Linked DNA regions of Arabidopsis thaliana. The protein of the gene in region 1 interacts with the protein of each later gene in a pairwise test. Each region holds a gene or a part of one and is shown on either strand. Other genes may lie near its edges. The genes, in order: AT1G17970, AT3G09630, AT4G33690 and AT3G54390.

Region 1 (8,297 bases):
GACTTATTACAACGGCTTGATGTCTTGCAGGCTATGGAATCAAACAAAGCTGACTGGGATACCCTTTTTGAGCCATTTGCATTCTTTGAAGCGTATAAAAACTATCTACAGATAGACATTTCTGCTGCAAATGTCGATGATCTAAGAAAATGGAAAGGCTGGGTTGAGTCACGCCTCCGCCAGCTCACACTGAAGGTGAAAAGCCATGTTTACTTTAACTTGAATAGTTTCTCTTGATTTTGCTTTGCTAATGATTTGTCTTGGATGTTTGCATTGTAATCTTAGATCGAGAGACATTTTAAAATGCTTCATTGCCACCCTCATCCCCATGATTTTCAAGACACATCCCGGCCACTCCATTGCTCTTACTTCATGGGTCTGCAACGTAAACAAGGAGTTCCAGCAGCAGAAGGCGAGCAATTCGATATCAGAAGAACCGTTGAGGAGTTTAAACACACTGTCAACGCTTACACATTGTGGATTCCAGGGATGGAGATTAGTGTTGGCCATATAAAACGGAGAAGCTTACCTAATTTTGTGTTTCCTGGTGGAGTTAGACCTTCACATACCTCTAAAGGAACATGGGACAGCAATCGCCGTTCAGAGCACAGAAATTCTTCTACATCAAGTGCACCAGCTGCTACTACCACTACTACCGAAATGAGTTCTGAAAGTAAAGCTGGTTCTAACAGTCCAGTTGATGGGAAGAAGAGAAAATGGGGAGATAGTGAAACACTCACCGATCAGCCAAGGAACTCTAAACACATTGCTGTTTCAGTGCCTGTAGAGAATTGTGAAGGCGGGAGTCCAAATCCATCTGTTGGATCAATTTGTTCAAGTCCTATGAAAGATTATTGTACAAACGGTAAATCTGAGCCTATTAGTAAGGATCCACCAGAAAATGTTGTTGCTTTCAGTAAGGATCCACCAGAGAGTCTTCCGATAGAAAAGATAGCCACTCCTCAAGCTCATGAAACTGAGGAGCTTGAAGAAAGTTTTGATTTTGGAAACCAAGTGATTGAGCAGATATCTCATAAAGTTGCAGTCCTGTCTGCTACTGCAACTATACCTCCATTCGAAGCTACTTCAAATGGCTCTCCTTTCCCTTATGAAGCAGTGGAAGAACTTGAGGTTTCTTATTTTTCTTATCAATTTTCGATACATAAATTGTTCTCTTGATCTTATTCCTCCTGTCTGATTTCTCTTTTGTTGAAAGGTTCTTCCCACGCGACAGCCCGATGCGGCACATAGACCTTCAGTACAACAGCGAAAACCGATAATCAAGTAAGTGATTTTGTGTCTATGTTTACTCTTAACGTTTGAATATACATTTTTGGATTTTGACAAAGATTGTTTGTTTTTGTTTGTCTGATTATTCGCAGATTGAGCTTCACGTCTCTAGGCAAAACCAATGGCAAGTAATAATGGCTTTTCCCTACATTGCCAAGAATCTCAGAGCACTTACGGAAATTCGAGATGTTAAGTTGAGGGGTTCTTGTTACTTTATGTCTTATATTTATATGCTTTTCTTAGATGTTGCATGATCTCATGTAAAACTCGTTTGGATAAGATTAATGTAATGTGTTCTTGTCTATGGATCCCAAACACTTTTTCTGTCATAAATAAAAGTCTGGGTTGAGTTTACTTCACATATATATATAAATGCAGACTCAAACGTTAAAACATTGATTCTTAGTTACGTGCGTGTATGCTATATGCTAAATTACTCTCTACCTGTCTTAAATCTACCTAGGCAACAGAAAACATAGATTTCAAACTCTTGATTTCAATCACATAAATAGACCCAACAAAGAATATAAGATCTTAAAAAAAAAAAATTGTGATTGCTAAATGCAAAAACAACAAATATGAATCAAGTATCAGATGATACAGATCTCTATACAGCAAGGTGGCTTGAAAGATCTTGAGCTATCAGAAACCCGACGAGATACAAAAGTCTTTTAAGGCTTGCCATATGCTGCCTTCTTACAGACCGGACAAGCATTCTTCCTCGAAAGCCATTGTTTCACGCAATGGACATGAAAGCTGTGTCCACAGTTCAATTCCCCAACCTCATCCTCTCTCTCATACTCATCCTGTCACCATCAAACAATAAGGAATAGCATTATGAAACTCATGATCTGTCTGAAGTTTCGAGAAGCCATTGACTCAATCTGGAGTTTACCTGACAGATGCTACATTTTCTATCAACAAGAGTATGTGATACGGATGGTTTGATTTTCCCAAGACAACGATGTATCTCGCTTTCTTTTAGTCCAGTATTCACATAACCAATTCTATCACCAAGCTCAAGAAGTTGCTGCGTAGACCAAAGCAAACACACTCGATAAAGTTGAGAAGATGAGATTGCAAGTGTTTTTCTCATGAGATTTTGAAAAACATACCTCGTATGACATGCTATCAACATCGAGCCTCAATTCGTGGTAGTTATCACGGGAATCTGTTATTCTTCCCATTACAAAACCATTCTGGAGCATCCTCATCTGCAGTGAACAGCAGGAACATGACTACACTAGCTGCATGGTTTAGTTCTTTAACTTGCTCACTTGCTATTAGCCATCCAAAACAGTTTTACAGCACCATACAGCACCAAAGAGAACGATTACATTATTTGTCTTCCACTCTATCAGTCACTAGAATATGTAAGAGACAACTCTAGAATAATCTCTTAGTTGATATGAAGCCAAGTGACAAGTCAAACCTTAACATAGTGTTGAGTGTGATCAGTTAATAAACTAAGAAGTCAAATCTATAACATTTACCAGATGCAAGAAAGACAAGGCAACTATTTGGCAAGAACATTCTACCTCGGTAAGATCATCAGGGTAAGAGCGTGGAAGATGGCCACGACATCTACTTGACAACATCGTTGGTTCAGCGCGTGATGATGTCACAAAAGTAGAATCAGAGTTGAAGATATCATGAGAATGAGTTTCTTGATTGAGAAACCGAATGGGAAGAACAGAAGAACCCTGCAGAACATTTGTAGCATTGTGTTATCATTTCTCAAACACTTAGACATGATGATAGATTCCTAATTTTCAAGTCCTCTGAAGCAATGCGTTTCTTTGATCAAAATAAATCCAACAACTCCCCTAACCAATTGAATCCAACCAAAAAGAAACTTAAACAATGCTAAGATTCCATCCTCTAGCTAAACGAGACAAAAGCATGATAAGATTCCATTCTCTAACCAAACCAGAGTTCGATTAGTTTATTGAGCATCAAACCCAAAAGAACCACCCGCACGTCAAACAAAGAAATTTTCTATATTATCCTCACATGAAACAAAAACTAATAATAGAGAACCGCTACATCTAAAGTAGACCCTTATGATTTGTCTAAACGAGAATCCAAACACATATATTAATAAACCAAACCAAACTAACAATGGCCCAGCAATTGGCATAGAGCTAACTACAACCACTAGAGCTCCAACCACTCCACACAGTTTCTGCCTAAACGATACCATTTCCTCAAAGTCAAAGTCAATAACATAATAACACTAAATTCATCATCCAACTTTAGATCAATTTACCAGTGTGTGATTATAATTGTTGTTATCCACATCAATTTTGCGACGAGACGACGGAATATTCCTTCCCCGAGGAGGATCAACCGATCGACCAATTACAGCATCCGTGGAGAAGCCTAATCCAGGTCTGCACCAAACATCAATAACGTCTCTAGCTTCTTCGCTTAAAATCCTAATCGAACCATCTTCGTAGCTTCCTTTATTCTTCTTTTTCTTTTTCTTATGCTTATGCTTCTTCTTCTTCTTATCTTTTCTAATTCTGGCATCCAAATCCGCGGAGTAGCGAATGACGGAGGGAACAGAAACCTCTTGAGCTGCTGCTGCTGCTGCGGCATAGCAACCCATCCCTCGAAACGACGACGTTTGGTACGGTTTCTTCCTCGTGCTTTCGTTGGAGGAGGAAGTCGGGAGGGGAAAGAAGGAAGACATTGCGGAGTTACAGAAGCGATTAGGTTGTGAAATCGGAAGAACGACGTGGCTTAGCGGCGGATCATCGTCGGCGGCGTGGAGATGACGGATTGTTTGGTTTCTAGCTCGTCGGAGTCTGATGTGCTCGCCGATTGTTGTAGAAGACATTCTCAAAGAAAGAAAGTAAAGGAGATAATGGAAATGTGGGAGAGAGAGAGCGAGACACAGTGCGCGGGGAAGGATGAAAGAGAGTGATTTCAAGCTTGATGATGATGATGATACAGTTTTTGTATAATGATTATAGCTTTTCCTATATAATACTATTAAAGATTTTTTAGTTTTTGTTTTTACATGCAACCATTAGTATGAGATTCCAAACAAAATCAGCTCATGCATATCTTTTGTGAATACTACCAAATTAGAAATAATGATTTTATAAGAGATATTGTTTAGGTTAATTTGAGTATTTCTCTGGGTTTTTAACTTTTTTTGGGCAATTTAGTTTAATGATTTTGCTTATTTTTGGTTTTTCTATTCCAGAAAAGTAAATTTTAAAATTTTTAAAATGATGCTTGCTTGTAAAAATAGGAAAGGTGTCAGTCACTACATGACTCTTTTAAGTCGAAACAATCTTGTTAAATAAATAAAAAGAGAGAGAGTGATTAGATATTATTTTGGTAGAGATAAAGAAGAGACACAAAGTCCAGCTGAAACATCCTACGATAAGCTTAAACATCAAAAGACCACTTCTTTGGTTGGTTTTAATATTTGAACAATCCTCGTATACATAAAGTTGGCACTCTTGAGCTTTGAAGACATCCAGCAAAGCCTTGATGGTTGATGCTCATCGCCACGAAGCCTGAACCGTTTTCCTTTCCAATATTACATTATTGTCTACCAGACCCGGTTCAACCAAATCGAACCCGACTACATTTTTGTAACACGAAACCATCCGAGAACGTTGCAAAACTGATTCTAGCTTCATCATTAATAGGCTTTTAAGAGCCCAAAACTACAAATAATAAGCCCACTTCAAACTGATTTTATAGCTTCCACATTAATAGGCCTAATAATGGTCATTTGGATATTATTGAGAATGCAACAAATATAAATGTGAAACATTAAATCAAAGAAAGTCACGCCAAAATAGGTTATATACATATACTTTTAATTTGCATTTTATCAACAAAACTACAATTCAATTGAAAAGAAATTATAAATATTGTAGAAAATTATTTAAATACAAAAGGAAATTATGTAAAGTTAGGTGCATCTGCCACTTGTTGTTATTACCTTATTACAAAAAATGAAAGGAAAAGCTCTAAAGCTTGGCCCGCAAGTCACTTTAGTGTTGTAGCTATAAAAGGGAAGTTGACCTTGGGATAATCTACTCCTCTGCTCTCAACGTCATCTTCTATATTCTATAGTTTCTATTTGTCCTTCGTTCTCTGCTCATCCATCGATGGCGAATAATCATCATCCCAAGGATGAGGCTTATCTCTCATCCGTCATCCCCAAGCGTATCAGGCTCTTCGAGGAAATCCAAGCCGAGCAGCTTGAGCAGCTTCAATCTCGGCCACACGATCCAATCAAGTAAATACGTTTATGATTAATTGTTCATCATTTTCACTAGGGTGCATCAATTTGTTTGCTAAGCTAGGGTTTTGCAATTAGTTGATTTCTGGTTTTTGTTTCACTGCTTAGGATTACTCTTCTCCCCGACGGTATCGAGAAAGAAGGAAGGAGATGGGAGACCTCTCCAATGGACATCGCAGTGCAGATTTCTAAGGGTTTAGCAAAATCTGCTCTGGTTTCTTCGGTTAATCATGTCTTGTGGGACATGAATAGGCCCCTGGAAGGTGATTGTTCCTTAGAGATTTTCGGATTTGACAGCGACCAAGGCCGTAATACTTTCTGGCATTCTAGCGCCCACATTCTAGGCCAGGCTCTCGAGCAGGAGTATGGATGCAAGCTATGTATTGGACCCTGCGAACCCAGAGATGAAGTAAGAGCTTTGTTCTGTGTTTTTTCCCCTTAATTATGTTTCTTTGGCTAAAAGAGTAAAAAAAGGAGGAGTCAATATTGTTTGGTTCTTGGTATTTCATCTGTAATGTTGCAAAGACGGGCTATCTCTGATGGTAATTGTTATTGCAGGGCTTCTATTACGATTCACTTTATTATGGCGAGCTGGGATTAAACGACAATCATTTTCCAAACATCGAAGCAAGTGTTGCATATATATCTTTTGCTGACATCTTTTTTGTTTTGCGGTATGGAATGTAGAATTACCCATTAGAATGGCCGAATTTGGAGTGTTACACCGAAATGAGGACAGTGGAGCACTTGGTGGAATGACCCGTGTCCGACGGTTTGTACAGGTATGTTTGCATCTTTCTGGACTTTTCTTGTGGTAAAATGTTTAAAACTTAAAAATTGATTGCTTTATATAAAGACTAGCGACATTCAAAATGATATCATGATTAGTTAAGCAGCTTATTTGCCATGTTGAAGTGAAGAAGTTACCCCTTTACTTTACTTTACTTAGTAGTTTGTCAATTTGATTTTAACCCTTTTGTGCGCGTGTTGCTTAATTAAATAACATTGTGCATACTTGTTTTCAGGATGATGCACACATATTCTGTAGAGTGGATCAGGTTTGTGATATTTGTTTCTTATGCAGCAACGTTGGAGCTCCTTATCCTCCCAGTTTCTTATTTTATAGAAATATTCTTATCTATTTGCAGGTTGAGGAAGAAGTGAAGGGTGTGTTGGATTTCATTGACTATGTTTACAGAATATTTGGGTTTACCTATGAACTAACGCTTTCAACGGTAGGATATTTTCACATTTCTTCTCTGCCAAACCTAATATACTTTGCATGGTATGGTCACGTATCTCATTGTTTGCATGTTGGTTTCGACTTCAGAGGCCAAAGGATCACATTGGAGATTTGGAAACATGGGCTAAAGCTGAAAATGATCTTGAAAAAGCTCTAGATGATTTTGGAAAGCCATGGGTTGTATGTGTCACTACTTTCTGATGCTTCTACTCAAAACTTTATAATTCATAGAGAGATTCTAAAGTGTGATGTTTTCTGAAGATAAAGGAAGGAGACGGTGCATTTTATGGCCCAAAGATAGACATAACAGTGTCTGATGCCAGGAATAGGAAATTCCAGTGTGCTACTATACAGGTTAGGCTCCCAAACTCTTTTTAGTTTTTTCCTCTGTTTTTTGTTCTTGATCTCTTACAATAAGATTTTGATCCTTATTTGCTTCGTACCAGCTTGATTTTCAACTTCCGGCTTGCTTCAAACTGAAATACCTAAGTGAAAAAAACGAAATGGAGGCACCTGTGATGATACATAGTGCGGTGTTGGGATCTATTGAGCGTATGTTTGCCATATTGTTGGAACATTACAAAGGAATTTGGCCCTTCTGGCTTAGTCCCCGCCAGGCCATAGTTTGCTCTCTTTCAGAGGATTGTAGTTCCTATGCCAAACAGGTTTTCTTACATTCTTTATTTATGAACCCTCACACCTGCAATTCTTGCAGTGCCTAATCTCTAAGCTTTTTGTTTCCTTTGCACGTACATTCAAACAGGTACAAAAACAGATTAATGAAGTCGGGTACTATGTTGATATTGATGAAAGTGACAGAAGCCTCCGTAAAAAGGTAAATTCTTATGATTACAAGCTTTCCAAATGTTTAGGTCTTTGAGCATATTATACAAGTGAGATTATTTAAGGCCATAAATTTTTATCTCGTAAAGGCTAGTTGTCTAAATTTCATTATAAAATAAAGTCGTTTTTTCTTGGTAGATATGAATGTATATATAGAAATTGCAAAGAAAATGCATAGTTATATGTGTTCACGAGTGTGATGATTTTGTTGTGTTTGTAGGTGGCAGATGCTCGGGATGCACCATACAACTACATACTGGTCGTAGGTCAAAAAGAGGTTGCAACTGGACAGGTTGAGTGTCTCACTTTTTTCTCATGATTCATATCTCTTTGACCATCGAGCTTCTCAAACATTGATTGATCTTTTTGTTTTGTTGGGACTGTAACATTTTCAGGTGACAGTTCGGCTCAGAGAGGACCCTGAAGGCCGTAAAGACTTGCCAGAGATGAGCATCGAAAGTTTGCTTGATGAATTCAAGTTCAAGACAGTCAACTTCCTCTGAGATCCGATGTTTATGGTTTAAAATTTCATTTTTCTGTTGATGATGAATGTATTTCTTTTATAATGGTCTTTTTCATTGTACCAAGACACATTTTGGAATAAAATGTACTATTGAAGTATAATCAACCAATTATCAAAATAAAATCTCG
Region 2 (7,353 bases), on another chromosome or scaffold:
ATCCTTGACTTCGATATAAAAATTCTTCCGGAAAGGTTCATACTCTATTTTGGAGTGGTCAACAAGAGACAATTTCTCTGCTTTTGTCTTCTTAACTCTCTTCATAAACTCCTCGTCGTCTTCGTCTAAACTTGGATCATCATCACTCTTTGGTTCTGAGTAATCTGAATCAGAATCTTCACCTTGAATTATCCTACCAAGGGCGGCCTTATTAAAACCTTTTTTGGCTTGGTCACCAGTTTCCTTCCCATTCATTTTAAAATCCAAAATACCATCGATCACAATATTGCTAAGCTTTTCAACCTCAGGTAATACCATAGTATTCATAAAAGCATCTAAGGGATCAATTTCGTCTTCATCTGCAGCTCTGTCACCTCCATTCTCAGAGACAGTAACAGCTGTCTCATTCTCCGAGGCGACCATCTTGGCATCTCCACCATTTTCGAGTTTAGTATCACGATCAACATCCATCTCTGAGTCTGATTTAACTTCATCATCAGATTCACCATCAAGAGTCCAAGCCTTACCGGTCTCAGGACCCTTACTTTCAATTTGAGCTTCCTCGTTTTGCCTCTTCAACTCTTGCCACTCCTGGACTCTTCTCCTCCGTTTTTCTACTTCCTCAGCCAACTGCTTCTGCTCATCCTCTACTTGTTCATCCCGAGTTTTCTTCTCAACATCGTCATCTCCATGCCTGCTACGCTCCGTTCTTTTGCGTTTCAAGCCACACTTGACATCATCACTCTCTTCATTACAATCCTCACGTGACCTCTCCTTTTTCTGTTTCTTCCTACCCTTTTCTTTCTCACGTTCTCTCCTCTCTCTGTCCCTTTTCAGATATTTTCCTCTATCTCTGTCACGTTCTCGGCGTCCTCTTCCCTTGTCCTCCCCTCTGCGTTTACTATCCCTCTCGTATTCTTCTTCTTCAAAATCGCTACTTTTTCTATCCCTCCGTATCCGTATCCTCTCCTCTTCCTCAGAATCGCATCTCTTAACTCTCGAGCGCATCTCCGTCGTATCTCGCCGACCATTCTCTTTCTTACTGCGATCACGATCTTTGCGATCATTTTCCTTCCTGGACTTAGATTTCTCTAACATCATCTCAAACGCAACAAATCCCGATAGAAAATTCCGTAACTTAAACCCAAATTCAAATCAAATTCATCCGCCAAACAAAAGCTTCAACGATAACCCTAAAAATGTTGCGGTGAAGAAGACAAAGCTACCAGAAGAATCAAAACTCTCTACACCGTAACGTTGTAACGTCTCGTTAGTGTCGAGTAACAGAGATAATAAAGCTGTAAGGTTGGGCCCTTATTGGTAAAAGATAAAAGTGAAAACCAGTTATTGGGCTATTTGGGCTTTAGTTAGGTCCACTATTAATCGATATTTTCCTCATGGGCTTCTAAACAACATCGCAAGGTTATTCTATTCAAAATAATTATTCATTTCGTTGATTTCATCTCATGAATGATTTCCTATTATTTATAGTTCATTCCCCAAACCACTCGCATCACAGGCGCGTTGAGCACGTGAGGCTAAAATCCATGGACTATATAACCTTCCTTTTTGGGGATTTTTTGCATAAATTAAAAACTGAGAGGACCTGCAGCGCGTGGGTTGGGATTTCATTTGTTGTGACTACAATTTTTTTTTTTTTTCCCCCAAAGGTCTTTCTGTTTATTGACTTTTTATCATAAGATAAAACGTTACAAAATGGGTTAAACCTATCTAGGTGATTACAAAATTTCAAAAATTGAAACTAAAAAGGCCTAACCCCAATAAAAGGATATCAAACCCAACTTGAAGAGAGGCATTGAAAGCTAAAAGGACTGGACCAAAAACCCAAACGACTACAGTATTCACATGAAAATATAACCAAACGAAAAGAACTATTACCGTGTTTTATCTTTTGCTCAGATTATGGTCCGAAAATATTGTTATCGATTCTTGATTTAGATTAAAAATGAGATAAAACTGTAAAGATTTTCTGAATATTTTGAGGTGTGCATTTTAATAGAAAACGAAGCCGATAGTGAATACACCGAGTTTGATAACTTCACCAAATGACTCGGTGGCAGTGCTAATCAGTAATATCTCACCTGCTTAGGAGCACTTCCATATTTAGGAAAAGAATATGATTTGAAATATTTTGCCATTCAAGATCGAGACTAAAGATTATTTGAACTATAAAGCAAATTTTCACTCTTTAACGCTCCATTTCGTACATTACTTTGATCATTTTTCTTTTTATCTATTTTTTTCGTCGACCGTTTTCTTTGACGATGTTTGTTATATGATTCTAAAAGCATCCACAATGGTAGACTCTTAGCAAAACTCTTAACAAATATTTAAAAAATTATATAATTTAAATATTAGATAAATCTCTTAAATTTGGTAAAACTTAGGTCAATTGTCTCTTAGTTAAGAGACAAATAGTCGGGTTTTATTAGGCCCACTAGTTCGTTAAAGGCTAAAGCAGTGCCCGGTTCTTATAGCGGAGGTAACTTTAAATATTGGGCCCTTACTGAAAGGTAAATTAGTTGGGTTTATTGGGCTTTATTATAAGGCCCACTAATTCAGCAGTAACCCTAACGAAACCCTAGCATATATTAGTTCTTAAACTTCAGCTGAGAGAAAACCCTAATTTCTCAAAGAGTCTAAAGAGACGGAGAGTGAGAGAAGAGAGAAACATTTCGAGACAAATGGCCGCCGCCGCTGCTCGTCCTCTCGTCACCATCCAAACCTTGGATGGTGACATGTCCACCGATCAATCCTCCACCGTCGTACTTCCCGACGTCATGACGGCGCCAGTTCGACCAGACATCGTTAACTTCGTTCACGCCCAAATCTCCAACAACAGCCGTCAGCCATACGCCGTATCGAAGAAGGCCGGTCACCAGACCTCCGCCGAGTCCTGGGGAACCGGACGTGCCGTGTCTCGTATCCCTCGTGTTCCCGGTGGTGGTACTCACCGTGCTGGTCAAGCTGCGTTCGGTAACATGTGTCGTGGTGGTCGTATGTTCGCTCCAACCAAGATCTGGCGCCGCTGGCACCGTCGTGTCAATGTCAACATGAAGCGTCACGCAATCGTCTCAGCTATCGCTGCAACTGCTGTTCCTGCGCTTGTGATGGCTCGTGGTCACAAGATCGAGAATGTTCCTGAGATGCCTCTTGTTGTGAGTGACTCCGCCGAAGCTGTGGAGAAGACCTCAGCTGCGATCAAGGTTTTGAAACAGATCGGTGCTTATGATGATGCTGAGAAGGCAAAGAACAGCATTGGAATCCGTCCTGGTAAAGGTAAAATGAGGAACCGTCGTTACATTTCTAGGAAAGGTCCTCTGGTGGTTTATGGAACTGAAGGATCTAAGATAGTTAAGGCGTTTAGAAACCTTCCTGGTGTTGAGCTTTGTCATGTGGAGAGGCTTAATTTGTTGAAGCTTGCTCCTGGTGGTCACCTTGGTCGGTTTGTGATCTGGACCAAGTCTGCCTTTGAGAAGCTTGAGTCTATCTATGGTTCGTTTGAGAAGCCATCAGAGAAGAAGAAGGGGTATGTGCTTCCTCGTGCAAAGATGGTGAATGCTGATCTTGCCAGGATTATCAATTCAGATGAGATTCAGAGTGTTGTGAATCCGATCAAGAAGGATGCGAAGAGGGCTGTTCTTAAGAAGAATCCATTGAAGAATCTCAATGTGATGTTGAAGTTGAATCCTTATGCTAAGACCGCGAAGAGGATGTCACTGTTAGCTGAAGCACAGAGAGTTAAGGCTAAGAAGGAGAAGCTCGCCAAGAAGAGGAAAACCGTTACCAAGGTAATCTCAATACTTGACTTGTTCTCTTATCAACCGTTTTTGGATTGTCTTTGTTTAGTTACTGATTACATTTTGATCTGTGGTTGCATTTCATTTGACTTAACTTATATTGCAATTGTTCTAATTGACTGAGTTTGTGTATGTTAAGCTATACAATAATCTGTTCCCCTCTGGTTTAGTCTATGACTATAGTAGTCTTTCTTTACTAGATCTTACCTTTTCTGTTCTGAATTGTGGTCTAGTAGTTTGTCTTGTAAATCTGTTGTGTACGATTCTTTGTCTTGATATTGATTTTAGGTTGAGCTATTAAGCAATTGAATCTCTTAGCACTTTCTTGTCCCTTGTGAAAATTGTTCTTCATATGTCCTCTTTTCTAACTCCACTTTGAAATATCTATTTTTCTTACATCAGGAGGAGGCGTTGGCAATCAAAGCAGCAGGCAAGTCGTGGTACAAGACTATGATCTCCGACAGTGATTACACCGAGTTTGATAACTTCACCAAATGGCTCGGTGCTAGCCAGTAATAATCTCGTCTGCTTTGGAACACTTTCCATATTTTAGTCAAAAGATTTTGGTTTTTTTAATCTGTTTTGTCTTTGGGTGTCTGGATATCAAGTTGAATTATGAACAAGTTTCACTTTTTTACATCTCCATTTCTTACTTCGCCTTTATCAGTTTCATTTATTTATCTCTTGCTCCTTCGTTTCCTATGATGATGCTTGTTATGTTATGAACCTACTTAAAAACAAGCTGAAGCTTTCTTTGGTTTACCCCAGCAGAAACATTAATCAAGTTCAATTGATCAATATGTCGATTGATTTACTGTTTAAAGGCATAGTGTGTCTATCAACCCTTAAGTCTTTTTGGTGGATAGTGAAGCTCAAACCCAATTCAAATGTCGATCAACCCTAACGTTTTTGTGCTCGATAGTAAAGCATGAGTATAAAAAGAACGTCGCTTCTTCCTACAATCACACAGATCATTTGAAGCTTTGATTAGTTGGTACAACATACTCGAGGAATACAGAATGACACGTGGTGTGTATCTGTTGGATAAATTTGTATTATTCTTCTTTACTATGGATGGTTTCTGGAAGGCGCGCCAAGAGTCCTTCTTTTTCCATCTACAAATCATGACCGTCCATCTCCAAAAGAAGACTGAAACAGTGAAACTAGAAGCTTCATTTTGATCATCAGCCAGTTTTATAAATTGATCCGTATACTAAAGTAACAACTACTAGCACTTTCTTCTGTGATCGATCATTGTGTTTAAACTAAAGGTTTGTATGTTCTTGTAATCTTATTGATCTCGATAGGTTCTCCATTCTCTTTAGGTTTTAAAGCCTTCAACGATTTCCAGAAGGAAGCGAATTTGAAAAAAATGGTGAAGAAGAGTTACCCGGAAGTGAAAGAAGAGTACAAGAAAGCTGTTCAGAGATGCAAGAGGAAGCTCCGTGGTCTTATTGCCGAGAAGCACTGTGCTCCCATCGTCCTCCGTCTTGCGTAAGATCCTCTCTCTGGTTCCAGTCTTTTCTGTTACTGTGAGTACTGAGTTGTTCGATTGATGGCTTCTCAGAGCATATTTTGTTGGCGGAAATTTGCAGATGGCACTCGGCTGGGACATTTGATGTGAAGACGAAGACAGGAGGACCGTTTGGGACGATAAGGCATCCCCAAGAGCTAGCCCATGATGCCAACAATGGTCTTGATATTGCCGTTAGGCTTCTTGACCCTATCAAGGAGCTGTTCCCTATTCTGTCATATGCTGACTTCTACCAGGTAAATTTTCAACAATGTACTGAGTTTTTTGACCTCTAATTGTGAAGCAAGGGATGCATCAAGCTGTAGTAAGTAGGAACTTGAGGTAGAACCATAGAATCAAGGGTTTTTTGATGCATCAGTGATTATACCGAGAGGGGAAACATTTGGAAGGGATTTTGTTGGTTGGTACAGCTAAGTTATGACTTAAAATGGGTTCTTCTCTAGCTTGAGCCGTCGGCTATTGGCCCTCTGGTTTGTCTGCAGTGAACTAGATTCACACATGTTAGATTGATACTGAATCTAAAAGCTTACTTTGTATTTCGCATGGCTTTAAGGGCTTGATTCATCTGTGTTTCTTGGTTACTGTAGCTAGCTGGAGTAGTTGCTGTTGAGATCACTGGAGGACCAGAGATTCCATTTCATCCTGGTAGACTGGTGAGTCAATATTCAACTTCTCAGTTTTCTGGCTACCAATTATTAGCTATCTCTTCGTTTTAAAACGCAACTCACTGATGATGAGACACCACTGCTAAGTTTTTTGTTCATGTGATTAACTGAACCAAACTTCATCTTTCAGGACAAAGTTGAGCCACCTCCTGAAGGTCGTCTGCCTCAGGCCACCAAAGGTAAAGCAGATATATGAAAATGAATTTAGCTTGAATTCAGGTATCAGATTGTAGATACATGTTCATAATCATAAATTCAGGTGTGGATCATCTAAGAGATGTGTTTGGTCGGATGGGACTCAATGACAAAGATATCGTTGCATTGTCTGGTGGACACACCTTGGTATGTATGCTGCATCCAGAAACAAAGACCTATGTGCTTTTCTCAGTTCTGGCTCACACCATTCTTTTACTTTCAGGGTCGGTGCCACAAGGAGCGTTCAGGATTCGAGGGTGCATGGACACCAAACCCGCTCATTTTTGACAACTCCTATTTCAAGTAAGATCAGATTCTCTGCTTCTGCTTGCTCATACTTGAATTGGACATGAGCTGAATTAGAAGCTCTTGAATCTTGATGGTTGTTAAACAGAGAGATACTAAGCGGAGAGAAAGAAGGACTTCTTCAACTACCAACCGACAAGGCTCTTCTTGATGATCCTCTCTTTCTCCCATTTGTTGAAAAATATGCTGCAGTAAGTTGTTCAACTCATCATTCCATGATTCTCTCAGCATACATATATTGTCAATAGGATAATATCACTGACTGGATTGTTACTCTCAGGATGAGGATGCCTTCTTCGAAGACTATACGGAAGCTCATCTAAAGTTGTCAGAACTCGGGTAAGTAACATATAGAACAATCATTCTCATCAACATTTTATTTAACTTTCTTTCCTATTCTCCTAATGTAGTGTCGTAAACTTTGAATGGTCCTCAGAAACTCACAAAAACTTTTCATTTGCAAACACTTTGATCATAATAACATAACTTACGCTCATGTCATCATGTCCTTTGCAGGTTTGCTGACAAGGAGTAATCTGGAATCTGGTGTCATCTCCTACCTCCTTGATTCTTGTTCCCTCACATTATTATTGTAATCATAGAAAATACTTTAAAAATTAAATGGAAGACATTGTATTATACGTATGCCTTGCGTTTTTTGTAATTGTTAATTAATGAAATAAGAGCACTTGCTTGCTGAAACTAAAAAACTCTTACAACAATTCATTACCTTCATATAGTTTGAAGGCTAGTAATCTCACAATGATAAACTATATTGAAAGTTGTGTTATCGTTGAAAAATTAAAATAATTTTTATTTCTGTATCTTCAAT
Region 3 (7,090 bases), on another chromosome or scaffold:
TTATTTGCACTTTGATTTCGTTGTTAAAATACTTTGCCAAATTGCTTGAAACACTGGTGTCAAAAGTGTCTTCTACAAATTCCAGAAAACAATGGAAACGACATTATTTTAACTCAAATCATGTCATTAAAGAGGGTGATGATGATGAGGAACGATTACAAACAAGGTTCTTCATTTGTAAAGCTGCTTGAATCTTCGACATGCCTCTAAGATGTTCTCTCTGTGACCAAAGGCACTGACACGAACGAACCCTTCACCCCCTGGTCCAAACCCACTTCCTGGAGTTGTAACCACATGAGTCTTCTCCAGAATCTCAGCAAACACATCCCATGAGCTTTGGTTCGGGAAGTGAACCCATACGTAAGGCGCATTCTTTCCTCCATATACATCATACCCGAGAGATGTGAATGTGTCAATGATTATGTTTGTGTTTTCTTTATAGAATCCAATCACCTTATGCATTGCCTGCAATGATTCAAAAGACAACAAAATAAATCATTTTGCATATCTGAACTAGTGGGAACTGGTTTGAGATCTCTCTTTAGCTAAGCTAACCTCAAGTCCTTCGGGTGTAAGGCAAGCAAGAGCACCAGCTTGAGAGATATTAGATGCACCATTGAAACAAGTGCAGATAATCCGATTGAAGTCTTTGGCAACAGGGAAACCGTCTGAATAGAGTAGCTTTTTCGGGATGACAGTCCAACCAAGTCGAACTCCAGTGAAACCAGCATATTTGCTGAACGAAGCTGTCTCCATAGCGACCTGTAAGCGGTTGTACACATGAAGAAAGATGTTGAAAAATGGACCTTTTAATGTTATAATCAATCAGTCTATTACCTCCTCTGCTCCAGGGATTTCGAAGATGGATCGTGGGTTATCATCAGACATGTACATTGCATAGGCGGAATCATACACTATTATAGAACCGTTCTTCTTTGCAAACTCAACTAACTGCGTTAGTTGCTCTCTCGTGGCAGCAGCACCCGTAGGGTTATTTGGGGAACAGAAGAAAATTATATCTGTCCTGCCAACGGTGGACAAGTCGGGAAAGAAGCCATTCTCTGGAGTGCATCTCATGTACTCGATGTTTCCATACTTTTGCACATCAGTGTTAAATTGCCCAGTCTGACCCATAATAACACTGGAGTCCACATAAGCCTGTATAATCCAAAAAAAACGAGACAGCATAGTTCCACGTTAAAATGGAGCAAAAGTAGAGAAGACTACAACTGCAATTTGGTTTCTATATGCCCAATTACCGGATATGAAGGATCCTGAACAGCAATTGTAACATTGGAACCAAACATAACCTGCAAGAAGTGGAATCAAGAAACAGCTGTTCATATTTCTTAATCTTGTATCAATTACAGATGAATAGTCAGCAATAAAACAAACCTGGAGACGTGAGATATCACATTTAGCTCCATCAGAAACAAAAACGTCATCATCCCCTATGCCAAGGCCACCGTAGAATGTTTTCGCAATAGCAGCTCTCAGTGGCTTTTCACATATGTGAAATCAAGGTTAGTTTGGATAAAAACTTAACAGATTAAGCTTTAAGATTTTACATGTAAGAAACAGGTTTAAATCCATCTTCTCTTGAATTTAGCAGCAGTTCAAGACTATCCATAATAAAATTGAAGTGACGTGCAAAGGCAGATAATAAAGAAATGATAACAACGCAATAAGGTGGAAATGAAGGGTGCACTGACCTTTGCACCTTGTTCAGCACCATAACCACTATATCCCTCTATTGTTGACAACTCATGAGCTTTCTGTCAGAGAAAAAAAACATGATTAATCTCTAGAGATTACATGCCTGTGTGAATAGTATAGCAAACAAAAAAACTATGCTACCAGAATAATTTTCATTGTTAGATTACAGAGAAGTTCTCGTTTAATAATCCAAATACGCCAAAACAGAAAATATGTTATACATTTTTGTCAAAATGAACGAAATAATACATGTTAGGGCAGTGTTAGTAAAATCAGTTTAAAATATGCTAGAGCCCAGAGAAGGGCAAAGAGCACATGAAGCTAAGTTAAGATAAGGAGGTACCTTTGCCATAGCAGAAGTGATCACTTCAGGAATTGGCTCAGTTGTGTCGCCTATTCCAAGACTTATAACTTGTGCATCTGGATATTTCAACAAGTGTGCAGACCTTCTTCTTGCAATCTGTTTGCATCCACACAAAAAAATAAGAGAGAGGAGCATTATATACAGAATCAATGAGGATATATTAACTTATTACACAGATAGTTATAATATTTCAGATCACTAGAAGCTTTCAAAAATGTTAACTTGAAATGCCACTCCTTTAGGTATTTGAAATCTTAAATAGTAGTACCAAGAGAGTAACAGGTAACAAACCTCCGGGAATAGGTATCCAGCCTGAAGTTTGGACATGTTTGAATTCCGTGACACTTTGGTCTTATACTCTACATACAGAAAACAAAATCATGTATTGTAAGAAACAGATAAACAGCTAAAAGACGATAAATCATTAACTATGTTACTAATCATTACAGCAAAAACAACATGGAGTAGGAACATTACCGATCTTCTCTTGCGGCGTAGCAACACATTTGCAAGTATTGACCCGTTTTGCCATGGGTAAGCAAGCATTTCGAGTTCTGAAGCCAAAAAGGAAAGCAAACCAATAAAAAAATGAATCAATGATCATCACAAGCAAATGCACTGTTCTCTGGCCAAACAACACCATCCAACATCGACTTAAAAACCAAAGGATTGAAATTTCCAAGTAAATTCATAACATACAATTAATTTCTGGAAATGAATCCAATTTCATATTCATCCTCACTAGATTATATCAGTAGCAAACAGAGAGTAAAAGAAAACAAAACGACGCACCTGAGATTAAAATTTGAAGGGGCTAAGAAAGTGGATGAGGAAGAAGAGATCATCGAAGAAACTAACTGATGGGTCGACGACATTTTTCCTGCTTCGCACAAAGATTTTTTCAGACAAATTTGCAGAGCAAATGAACCATGGGAGATAGTTGGTGAGACTGATAAAACTAGGGTTCTTCTTCGGTTTGGTCTGAGAGGAAATTAATCCGGTTTGTTCCGGTTCGGTTTTACTAGAAATTTTTGGGAATTTTCCAATTCAGTTCAATTTATTTATTTCTCTCTCTGGCTCGGACAATGATTTTGCTCTGCGCCTGCTGGAAAACGCCGAGGAATCGCACGATTTCGTGAAGCTGCTACTAGATATCTGTATCTGAGTCAATTCGATTTCGTGGTAATTAATCTCGACCAATAGGGTTCTCCAAAAATCCCCTTTTCGATTGTTGTGTGTTTACGTAATTTTGTTTGTTTTGCTTCGTTGATTTCGTTGTCGAAAGAACGTAGCTTTAGTGGAAGTTCTGTGATTAAGAAGCAATGATTTAGATAGCTGTAGTGGTCGAATTAAGTTCAACTCCATCTTTGTTTGATCTACCCAGATTGATTTGATCACATAACTTGATTAGGCTTATACTTTTTTGTTTTACCTTGGAGTAGATGGATCTGGAAACTGAAAATCGAATAGCTTCCATTCTTTTAAGAGAAGCAGCAGAATTGAGGAGACAAGCTGAGAAAGATGGCGTCAGAGCATATCTTGAGAAGCCTAATGTAAGGCATCGACCTAACTCTAGATTTCTCACTGCTACAGTTCTTGGTGTTCAGCAAGGTATAATCTTTTGTTGACAGACTTTGCTTCTATCCAACAAAATCTAGTTTTTTTTTAGTTTATCTCTTATTTGTTTCTTCTTTATTCCATTCAGCAAACAAAGCTGTGGAAACCAATGAGATGTGGAGTCTTCGGAGTAAAGAGATTGAGTTTGGTGAAAGGCTCAAAAGAAAATCAAGAGATGAGAGCAGCAATGGTCAAAGTGAGCAGAACAATAGGAGGGATTTTTTAAAGAGATGTACTTCAGTTGATGAGAATGTTACTACTACTAGTTTATCACCATCATCAAGCCGGAGCAGAAGCAAAAGATGGCAATCAGAGGATGATGATGATGAAGGCTTAGGAGATGTCGAGGTTAAGACTTTTCTCCAATCAAGGTATTTCCATTATACTCAGATGCTGCCTGATTATTTCCTTTACAATAATGATCGAATTTGGGATCGGCTTTTGCTGATAAAACTTGTGATTCTGGTCTATGATAGGGTCAAGCGTGGCAGAGGTTCTGTTGGTGCTATGATGGATGAACCGCTACCCTGTCTTCCTGAGAGGGAATTGTCAAGAACTTCTGATACAGGAGATCGGAAGCTAGTGATTCAGCCAGAGCGATCACCTTTATTGAGACGTAGGACAGATTCTTCTTCTTCCGACGAGGAGGAAGTTTACAAACGGGCTCATAGAAAGAGAAAGGAGCATAAGAAGAAACTTAGTAAGAAACACAAGTCAAAAGAGAAGAAAAGGGATAGGAAGAAGAGAAAATATGGTAGGGACTAGATCTTTCCGGACAAAAGTAATTGCCTTTTTACACCGGCAGTGATGTTGTATCCATAAGATGATCATATTTCATTAATTCTTGTATTAGTAAAATGCGAATAAAAACTCTTTGAAGTAAGGTAGAGAGTGACATATCTTAGAGACTAATGATATATAGGTAGTAGAGACAACTATTGGTGTGGCCTATGAGGGTTCAGATTTGGTAAAACTCTTTGAAGAAAGGAGAGAGCGACATATCTTAGAGACCAATGATATATATATAGAGAGAAAACATCTTGAAACCATAGAAAAAGTTGTTGTTCATGCCTACATTGATACACATTCGCCGGACAAGTGACAGTTTGAAAGTTGAAAACAAAGACTAAAGTTTTCGACATTCATAACCAGTTCAGTGGTCATGCACTCTGTGTTAGGAGTCTTCAAAATGGTGATCAGTTTCGTCAAAGATCTCCTCCTGCAACCACAAGCCAAGCAATAATTAATCCGTGAAAAAGAATTTTTGTTTTTAACTTATATAAGATTCCTTACCTGCAGAAGTTCTTCAATGACATCCTCCATCGTAATGATTCCGACTGCTTCTTCTTCCTCAGCAAGTTTAGGCAGCGGATTGCCATTCAATTGCAGGATGTCTGCATCATTGTCTTTTGACCACTTCTTGCTCTTTGACCCTCCTTTAAACGAACTTGCTCGATTCGGAAAGCTCTTCCACTTTTGAAGCGATCTTTTTGTCCTTAACATTCTCTCCTGAGGAGTAGGAGTTCCCTCACTATCCACATCCACTCGGGCTTCCTTAACACTCCCTATTAGAAACCAAAGCAAAGATTCTCAATACTTGTAACTCAGCAAGACATTGTTTTGTCGATTAATGAAGCAGTTTACCATTTTTAGAAGGTAATGGGTGGATTTTGTCACACTGTCTTACAACAACAGCCATGTGGCTGAGTCCTTTCTGGAATTCGTTCAATATGTCATATAAAGGCAAGATTTCTGGAACTCTAAAACAAAGCAAGAAATCAGCTTTTGAAGCACATTCAGTGGGGCTTAGTTACTTAGATTTGGAAGTTTCACCTTGGAATCCTTCTTATCGTGACATTCTTGACAGGTATTTCTTCATCTGGGTTGATAGTTAATAAGTTCTTCACCTGAAGATAATAGATATGAATGGTTAGAAGTGGAACCATAACACTAAAGAGGAAAATATTTGTGAAAAATGACTTCACAGAGAAGCGAGTCAAATTGTGGAAGTAATGCATGAGACTGGGAGTTACCAGAACAAGGCCGATTATGTTAGTTGGCTGCTCATAGTATACTGGAACTCTGCTATGCCCTTTCTCAAGAATCAAGTTCATCAAGTCTCTATACCAGAGGAACAAAGAAAAGAAAAGTGTTTAGCATGAGAAGTATAAAGACTCCAGGCAAGTGTGTTTCTGATAAGTTAGGTCTCCAAGGAATCACAACACAAAACCTGTCTAGTTTGGCATTGATATCAATCACAAAGATATCCGATATTGGTGTCATTGCATCTTTGACCATTTTCTCAGAGAGTTCAAGAGCTCCTGCAATGATTGTCGTTTCGTCATGAGTCAACTCCCCACCCTTTCCAGCCTGAAAGAAACAATACACTAAACATCATGACATAGATAGAAGGGGTACATAAACTTTTCAATATGGAAGATGGGATCAATGCATACCTCATTTCCATGAAAATCCACAAGTGTTTTCAGCTCAGCTCTTCGAAAAAGCGCTGCACGACGATGACCCAATAGAAAGTCCAGCAACTGGATTATTCAAAGGAGCAAAAATTTATTATAACAACGAGCATGATTGGTGGGGGCACTGGCTCCTACGGAAATCGGTAAAGTGTTTTTACCTTGCTTATTGGCCATGCAACAGGTAAGCAGATAAAGACTAGGACACGGACAAACGGAGCCACTGTTGCACCAATCGCTAAACCATAACGTGAACAAATCGACTGAGGTATAATCTGCAGTTGCAGTAAAGCCAACCATCAATGTTAGTATCCTGATTTGCATGCATTCACATCTGATATACAGGAAAGTGACTCAAAATGCTCATAGTCGTTTCCCTTATTGAATATTACAGGAAATGCTAATCTTACCTCACCAAAGAGAAGAATCAATGTAACTGAAATCAAAATGGCACCCCATGCCGTCACAAGGCCATCAAGAAAAATAGGAAGCGTCTGAAAAGATAAATCATCACTATCATCAAACACCATTCCTGAAACCTATAAATAATCACAGAGGCTAAGATTCAGTTTTGTAATTACCTCCATAGCAGCTGCATTGCATATAAGTAAAGTGACAAGCAACAAGTGCTGATTCTTTACCACTGGCAATATCTTTGCTGCAGCAAACAAAAACAACTCTGATCATCATTAACAGAGAGACAGAGCCTAAAAAGACATGAATTAGATCAAAGCAGGCTGCTCACAACAACTGAATCATCGATGACATAACAGCTATTATGTCATTAAACTTGGAGGCTCTGGCTTAGATAGCAAAAAATGATAAAAGGGTAATCTAGTCTTGATTAGTAAAGTTGTGATAAGACCAAAATCTTCACCAGTATAAACTAACACGCAGCAATTGAATATTACAGAAACCA
Region 4 (7,010 bases), on another chromosome or scaffold:
TAACTAAATATTGCTTTATAGTTATACCCTCCGTATAAATTAGATATGTGCATGCATTCTCTGGATGGACTTGAAAAATGAAAACTATACTCAACGTAATTTTTTTGAATCATATCATACATTCATACTTAACGATACTTTTGTACTGAATAAACCGGGAAAATCGATATACAAAAAATACATTTAAATTATACTAACAAATAATTCGCATTTTTACTTTGTTCAAAACAAGATCTAATCAGAACATACATAAATGTTTCAAATCGAAAGAAAAAAAATGGTTAGTATTTGGACTTGATTATTTTTAACAAAACAAGAAATTTAAAACCAAAACCGAAATACGAACCGAATGTCAGGCGTAATGTGAATGCCTCTACGTCAATTTTTGGATCCATCTACACAAAAGATGTGAATGTGAACTTCGTTTTTGGCGTGTTATTACACCATGATCGAGAAGTCTAGTCACGGGTTTTGGACCTTTTGGTACCATGAGTCTAAGTCACGGGTATATTATTATTTATACAAGAAATTTATAAACAATCCAACTAGTAGAGCATATTTTACTGTTTGAACTTTGATCTATATATATACTTTGTCGTCATGCTAGTTAGGTTTTGCCTATAATACAAAAACGCCACTTACAACTGCAATTAAATAACGTAACACATCGTTAGTAGCGCAATTTAATAACCAGATCCAAGATGGATAAAACAATTCTTTATGGAAATACGTTGTTAAACTCAAAGAACAAAAAAAATTCTAAATATTAATCAATAAAGAGTTTTTTTTATTGCAGGCTCCAAATCCAAGTTGCACAGTAAGCAAATCATGTGGTTTCAACATGACCTACGGTGGTTCAACCATCGAAGCATATCTGACACAAGACACACTAACATTGGCCAGTGACGTCATCCCAAACTACACCTTTGGGTGCATCAACAAAGCTAGTGGAACATCGTTGCCAGCGCAAGGACTCATGGGCTTAGGTCGTGGTCCATTGTCTTTAATCTCACAGTCACAAAATCTTTATCAGTCTACATTCTCGTATTGCTTGCCTAATAGTAAGTCCAGCAATTTCTCCGGATCACTAAGATTGGGACCTAAGAACCAACCGATCCGGATCAAGACCACTCCATTGTTAAAGAACCCTAGAAGATCATCGCTTTACTATGTTAACTTGGTTGGGATTCGTGTCGGAAACAAAATTGTGGATATTCCTACAAGTGCACTCGCCTTTGATCCGGCCACCGGAGCCGGCACCATCTTTGACTCGGGTATGGACTTCTCAACCCTCCTTAATATTTTTTATTTTTCGCTTGAGAACTGAAAAGTCGTGCGATGGAAGTAACCTAATTGCTCTGCTCTCTCACACGTAACACGTGATATTTCTGGACTAAAAATGATTTTACAATCAAAACAAAAATGGCCAATCCAAATTTTCATATAAAAATTATATTTTAGAAAAGAAATTTGATTTTTAATTACAAAACACTTTTGAATGTACGCAGGGACGGTCTACACAAGGCTAGTCGAACCAGCTTACGTGGCGGTGAGAAACGAGTTCAGGAGACGTGTTAAGAACGCAAACGCAACTTCACTAGGAGGTTTCGACACATGCTACTCCGGCTCCGTCGTGTTCCCGTCGGTGACGTTTATGTTCGCCGGAATGAACGTGACTCTGCCTCCAGACAACCTTCTCATCCACAGCTCCGCAGGTAACCTCAGCTGCCTCGCCATGGCTGCAGCTCCGGTCAACGTTAACTCTGTCCTTAACGTCATCGCTAGTATGCAGCAACAGAACCACCGAGTTCTCATCGACGTTCCAAATTCCAGGCTCGGAATTTCCCGTGAAACTTGCACCTAAGTTTTATCGATTTGTATTTTTGTTTTCGGTCGATTTCGTAATGCGTTTTGAACTTTTGAATTTTGGAAACTATATAAGTTAATGATTTTTGTTAATTCTCAAACGATTGTAAAATCTTTCGTATGATTTTCTTTCGATGTTCTCTGTTCAAAAAGGATTGTACTCATGAATTTGCGGATGCAATAAGCCTGGAACAGAGGACCTTTATTATTTTAAATATATATATGTTCCAACTTCCAAGTATAATCATATGCATCAACTTCATGAGAAAGTACCAAAATGTCAACAAAAAATGATTATGCCTTGGAAGGCATTTTCATCACCCAAATGAGACTGAGAAGTTCTAAATGGCGCGTTAAAAATCTACGATGATAATCTTGTAGACCCCAAAATGTCCGATGTGCTGCCTTGAAGTTGCATAGTTCATCATACTCCACTAACGAGGAAACACATTCACTCTTACAACAAAACTTCTCTCATATAGGTAAGAAAAAAGGTGTGAAAATTAAAGACTTGTCCTAATATTTGGTACTTGTAATATTTGGATGACTTGATAATTAACCAAAGATTTTAGTGAACACTAACCCACAAAATTTCTGAATGTTTTGAAAGATATACACTTTCAATAAGTGAAAAAGGAACAACCCCGAATTAGTATCTTTGCGCAAACATGAGAGAAGAAAAAGAGTGGAACATAGAATGGGTGAGAGAGTGACAAGTGTAAACCCCACTTCCATTAGGTTCATTCCCATCTTTGCCAAATGGATTTTGCGGTTTGGCTTGACATCAACGCTAACAGCCAGACTCACTCCACCATACACCTAAAAAGAGAAAAAAAGCATACAAAAAGGCTTTTATAGCTAAATGAATAAAAGCATTTGCATCAGAAGATTTTTGAAATCATTATTGTGAAAAAATAAAATCAAAAGTAAAACCTTTTTTCAAGTTGACAAATAAAAGAAAAGAAACCCTATTTTTCAATGGTAACCCACTTTCTCACATTTTTCTCTTTATTCTCCTCTATAGTATGTGTGTGTGACGGGTTGCTCCACTAACTTTTGTGAAGGTAAGTATAAAGCCGGTGCAATTATGCGTTTCTCTGTTTGTATTTGTAATCTTTATACAAACCATAAATTGGAACAAAGACTAAAATGACAGTAACAATATAAGTGAAAAACATAATTTCATTAGCTTTAAGTCACGAGGCACGACCATTGAACATGCGAGAAACGCGTGTACCCAAACTCATTGGTTAGTTTTGAGAGCAGCAGCGTATTCTTACACAGTTCTCATATGTTTAACTCCATTCACTCTCTCAAAAGGTTCCCATCTTTATCAAAAGACTTGCTAAAATCTTCTCTTTCTTTCTCCTTTCATCACACTCTTGAGTCCTTGTCTCTGTTTTTAGTCACCTGAAGAAAAAATATATGGAGAACGGAGAATCTAACCAAGAAAATCTCAAATCTCTCAACCACGACGAATCGCTTAAGAAGCCATCTGCTTCCTCCGTCGTTGTAGATAGGTTAAAACGTGATGAATGGAGCGAAGGAGCTGTTTCGACTTTACTCGAAGCTTATGAGTCAAAATGGGTTCTCAGAAACAGAGCCAAGCTTAAGGGACAAGACTGGGAAGACGTGGCTAAACACGTGTCCTCACGCGCCACTCACACCAAGTCACCAAAGACTCAGACTCAGTGCAAGAACAAGATCGAGTCCATGAAGAAACGGTACCGTTCTGAGTCCGCTACTGCTGATGGCTCCTCTTGGCCTCTTTATCCTCGTCTTGATCATCTCCTACGTGGAACTCAGCCTCAGCCTCAGCCTCAAGCTGTTCTGCCTCTGAATTGCTCTGTTCCTCTGCTCTTACTTGAGCCGCCGTTGCCTGCGGTGGCTCATCCGCCGCAGATTTCTTACGGATCCAACGGCGTCGGCAAGATTCCTAAGGTCTGATCACCTAAACTAACCAAATTTGGGAGATTTTCTAATGAAGTTATTTTGTGTGTAGGAAGACGGATTCAAGCCGGAGAACAAACCGGAAAAAGATGCGGAGATGGATACAGACAGTAGTACGCCTGTGGTTAAAACGAAGGTGAGAGGGAAGAAAGTGAAGAGAAGATATAAAGAAGAGAAGGAAGAGATCGCCGGAAGTATACGGTGGTTAGCGGAGGTGGTGATGAGATCAGAGAGAGCAAGAATGGAGACGATGAAAGAGATAGAGAGAATGAGAGCTGAAGCTGAAGCTAAGAGAGGAGAATTGGATTTGAAACGGACGGAGATAATGGCGAATACTCAGCTAGAGATTGCTAGAATCTTTGCTGCTGCAGCTTCTTCTGGACAGAACAAAGGTGTTGATTCTTCATTAAGGATCGGAAGAAATTGAGTTCTGCTTTTTATATTGGAGACTCAAGATGTTGTGTGTACATACCAAGTGTTGTTTTGTCAAAATTTCTCAGAGAGAGACCAATAATTGTTTCCTGGGGTAGATGGCGATTTCCACATTTCTACCAGCAAATGTATGCTTTTGCCATATGAATATCATCAATCTTTAGTCAAAGAGATGCTAATACTGTCTCAAATTTGTGTGTGTTTAAGTGTTTTAACTCTTCAGGTAGAGATTTACAGAGAATGCTTGGTAGATAGTTCGGTTCGATCAGTTTGGTCGTGTTAGAGATTGTAGTGAAAGAGAAAATAAGTCTTAGCAAAAGAATGCGAGACAACTGTCTAGTATTAGTGGAGATGAACCAGCTTTTTCTCTTTGCATTTCTAATATGGAGTTTTTTTTGGATGGGAAATTGCACTATGATAGTATGATTAGTGGTTCTAGTCTATGTGTTTTGAATGTTAGCAGTTAGATTCTTGTTAGGGATAGTTGATGAAAAGAAACCTAAATTTGTAGTGGTGGACACATTGTTCTCTGCTGTCTAGAGAGTGGCCGTGACTACTAGACCCACCAACCGGCCTAAGCTTGCCTGTATAGGGGTGGGAAAAAATAGAATAACACCAAAAATGAAATGCTCAAATGACAAAATCAAAATTGATTTCCTTCAAATATATCTAACTAGACTATTGTTTGTAAAAAAACAAAACAGAACCGAATCGTAATTGCACAAATGACTAAACCATATATTCTTCCCAAAAAAAAAAGACCAAACCGTATACGAAAGGTTTGATTTGGTATCGATTTAAAAAGAAAATCTGCAAAACCGGAAAGAAAAACAAAACAAAACTTAAAATCAAATTTTCCAAAACTATATATGTAAATTACAAAGTGTAGGGAAATGTGAAATGTTCTAGATTCTTACTTGAGTTGAATTTTGAATGCTGCATTTGTAGAAATGCAAATTTGTGTACAAGTCAGAACCGGTGTAAATTAAATTGACCCGGTTGCCGCCAGATTTAATTCGCTGAGAGTACTGTACCGGATTTGGTTCTCTTCCGGTTTATTCCAAATAATAGTTCGGTAACAGCTTTGATTGGTTCGTTTCTTCAGAGTCTGGTTTGGGACTTGGGAGGGAAGAAGATCTCGTTCCCTCTAAGCCATGAATCGTCGTAATCGTGGCTCTTCTTCTTCTTCTTCTAGGGTTTCGAATACTTATGGGAACCGCCAGTTCTCTGATAACCCGAGGACTGGATCCGGCGGCGGAGTTAATGAATCCTTTCAGAGAAGATCCGATGCACCGCACAAACGAAACAATGAAAAAGACGAATCAAAACATAAAGACGAAGATCCTGCTGACGTTTCATTGATTGTAGGAACTTGTTCTTCTATGTGCCCAGGTAATCATCGAACTACGTTAGCTGCAGATAAATTACCAATTGACCTGAGATTCCGCTAAAATTCAACCCTATCCTGCACCTGAATTGGATTTGATCTAGTTCTTAGGTCAATTAGGTACTTTCCCTTCATCAATTCATGATCCTTCCGTGCATCGGCAGTTCAGAACAAAGAATTATCTTTTGCTAGGGGTTTAGGTAAAAAATTACACTTGAAGTACCAAAAAGAGTGTGTACAGCTTCATCTAATATGTTGTTTTTGGTATCAATAGAGAGGGAAAGAGTCACAAGAGAACGCCTGCGTGATCTTGCAGTGTTTGAGAGGCTTTATGGAAACCCCTCAAAATCATCCACAGAGATAGCTGTCAAAAAGGTGCGGTTCACATTGTACAGCTTTGAGTTTTCATGTCTCTGGTGCTAATGTGGGAAACTTTCACCTTCAGCTTTCTATATTTGACATGTCGTATCTATTCTTCGAGAGAACTTGTTATTGAAAGAAATTTGATGTTGAAATTCTTCATCTATGCAAATTAGAATCCATAACTTATTGGTCAAGATGAATAGTTTGTACTACTTATTGGGAGATACCAGCTGCTATGCAATGAGGTTCATTTTTTTCCAATACCAACGGCATTTATACTCTCTTTCTGTGTTCTTGCTAGTTTTGCAGAACCCTTTCAGCGGCGGATGTTCAGGCATCGGATGTAAGACCGCTCCCAGTTTTAGAAGAAACCCTGAGATACCTTCTAAGTTTGCTCGACTCCAAGGAGCACCCGTTTGAAGTGGTTCATGATTTTATTTTCGATAGGACAAGGTCTATTAGACAAGATCTTAGCATCCAGAATTTGGCCAATGAGAGAGTGATCTACCTTTATGAGGAAATGGTATGGTTTGACTTTTTTCTAACTCTTTTCTCTTTCCTGGTTCGGTAAATGAATTACACTGAGCATGTCTATTTTGTCTTTAGAATTGCTTTCCTTGGGTTTTGTTGACAGTCGTTTGTGTGTTTAACCCTCTGCTATTACCAAAAGAATATTTGTAAGTTTAAGATATTTTGACTTAATGTGTTGATTGTAGTTTACATAGTCGTAATCTTAATCAGGATGCTCAAATAGGATCATTTTTCTTCTTTTGTAATTTTCATAGAAATATATACCACTCTGATTGATCATCCTCTTCTGATTGGTAATCATCAGTTTGTTTTATTTTCTATAGAGTTCCGTTGATGTTATTATTGTTGACTCCCGAATGGCTTCTGTAACAGGTAAAATTTCATGTCATATCTCACGAGAGGCTTCAAAGTTGTAGTGGTACAAGTATTAGCTCAATGCATCACTTGAACATGGAGCAGCTAGCAAAAACTCTTACCTCTT

What was found.
Region 2: the proteins of AT1G17970 (region 1) and AT3G09630 interact in a two-hybrid assay, tested with the Arabidopsis thaliana proteins (one large-scale study listed by BioGRID).
Region 3: the proteins of AT1G17970 (region 1) and AT4G33690 interact in a two-hybrid assay, tested with the Arabidopsis thaliana proteins (one large-scale study listed by BioGRID).
Region 4: the proteins of AT1G17970 (region 1) and AT3G54390 interact in a two-hybrid assay, tested with the Arabidopsis thaliana proteins (one large-scale study listed by BioGRID).

What each region holds. Positions count from the first base shown.
Region 1 is NC_003070.9:6,180,867-6,189,163, reverse strand, and holds AT1G17970 (RING/U-box superfamily protein), read right to left. Parts: upstream 4,448-8,297; 5' UTR 4,133-4,447; coding exon 3,560-4,132; intron 2,994-3,559; coding exon 2,829-2,993; coding exon of another isoform or gene 2,757-2,828; exon of another isoform or gene 2,505-2,756; coding exon 2,406-2,504; intron 2,321-2,405; coding exon 2,186-2,320; intron 2,097-2,185; coding exon 1,962-2,096; 3' UTR 1,691-1,961; downstream 1-1,690. Other genes in the region: PAPS1 (poly(A) polymerase 1), read left to right, coding at 31-195, 286-1,131, 1,217-1,284, 1,383-1,422; AT1G17960 (Threonyl-tRNA synthetase), read left to right, coding at 5,427-5,557, 5,669-5,969, 6,119-6,191, 6,248-6,342, 6,586-6,618, 6,709-6,795, 6,891-6,983, 7,065-7,157 and 4 more.
Region 2 is NC_003074.8:2,951,108-2,958,460, forward strand, and holds AT3G09630 (Ribosomal protein L4/L1 family), read left to right. Parts: upstream 1-2,585; 5' UTR 2,586-2,705; coding exon 2,706-3,812; intron 3,813-4,223; coding exon 4,224-4,337; 3' UTR 4,338-4,631; downstream 4,632-7,353. Other genes in the region: AT3G09620 (P-loop containing nucleoside triphosphate hydrolases superfamily protein), read right to left, coding at 1-1,101; APX2 (ascorbate peroxidase 2), read left to right, coding at 5,194-5,315, 5,417-5,591, 5,943-6,008, 6,151-6,199, 6,280-6,362, 6,439-6,518, 6,610-6,712, 6,802-6,860 and 1 more.
Region 3 is NC_003075.7:16,171,676-16,178,765, forward strand, and holds AT4G33690 (G patch domain protein), read left to right. Parts: upstream 1-3,080; 5' UTR 3,081-3,262; intron 3,263-3,522; coding exon 3,523-3,691; intron 3,692-3,785; coding exon 3,786-4,068; intron 4,069-4,173; coding exon 4,174-4,462; 3' UTR 4,463-4,653; downstream 4,654-7,090. Other genes in the region: AGD2 (Pyridoxal phosphate (PLP)-dependent transferases superfamily protein), read right to left, coding at 172-465, 556-762, 838-1,158, 1,260-1,310, 1,396-1,500, 1,713-1,775, 2,060-2,176, 2,372-2,439 and 2 more; AT4G33700 (CBS domain protein (DUF21)), read right to left, coding at 4,872-4,916, 4,991-5,262, 5,342-5,457, 5,531-5,604, 5,731-5,818, 5,928-6,067, 6,154-6,240, 6,333-6,446 and 2 more.
Region 4 is NC_003074.8:20,135,145-20,142,154, reverse strand, and holds AT3G54390 (sequence-specific DNA binding transcription factor), read left to right. Parts: upstream 1-2,910; 5' UTR 2,911-3,157; coding exon 3,158-3,186; exon of another isoform or gene 3,187-3,272; coding exon 3,273-3,807; intron 3,808-3,868; coding exon 3,869-4,243; 3' UTR 4,244-4,417; downstream 4,418-7,010. Other genes in the region: AT3G54400 (Eukaryotic aspartyl protease family protein), read left to right, coding at 797-1,274, 1,509-1,864; SAC3C (SAC3/GANP/Nin1/mts3/eIF-3 p25 family), read left to right, coding at 5,403-5,640, 5,910-6,010, 6,300-6,521, 6,902-7,010.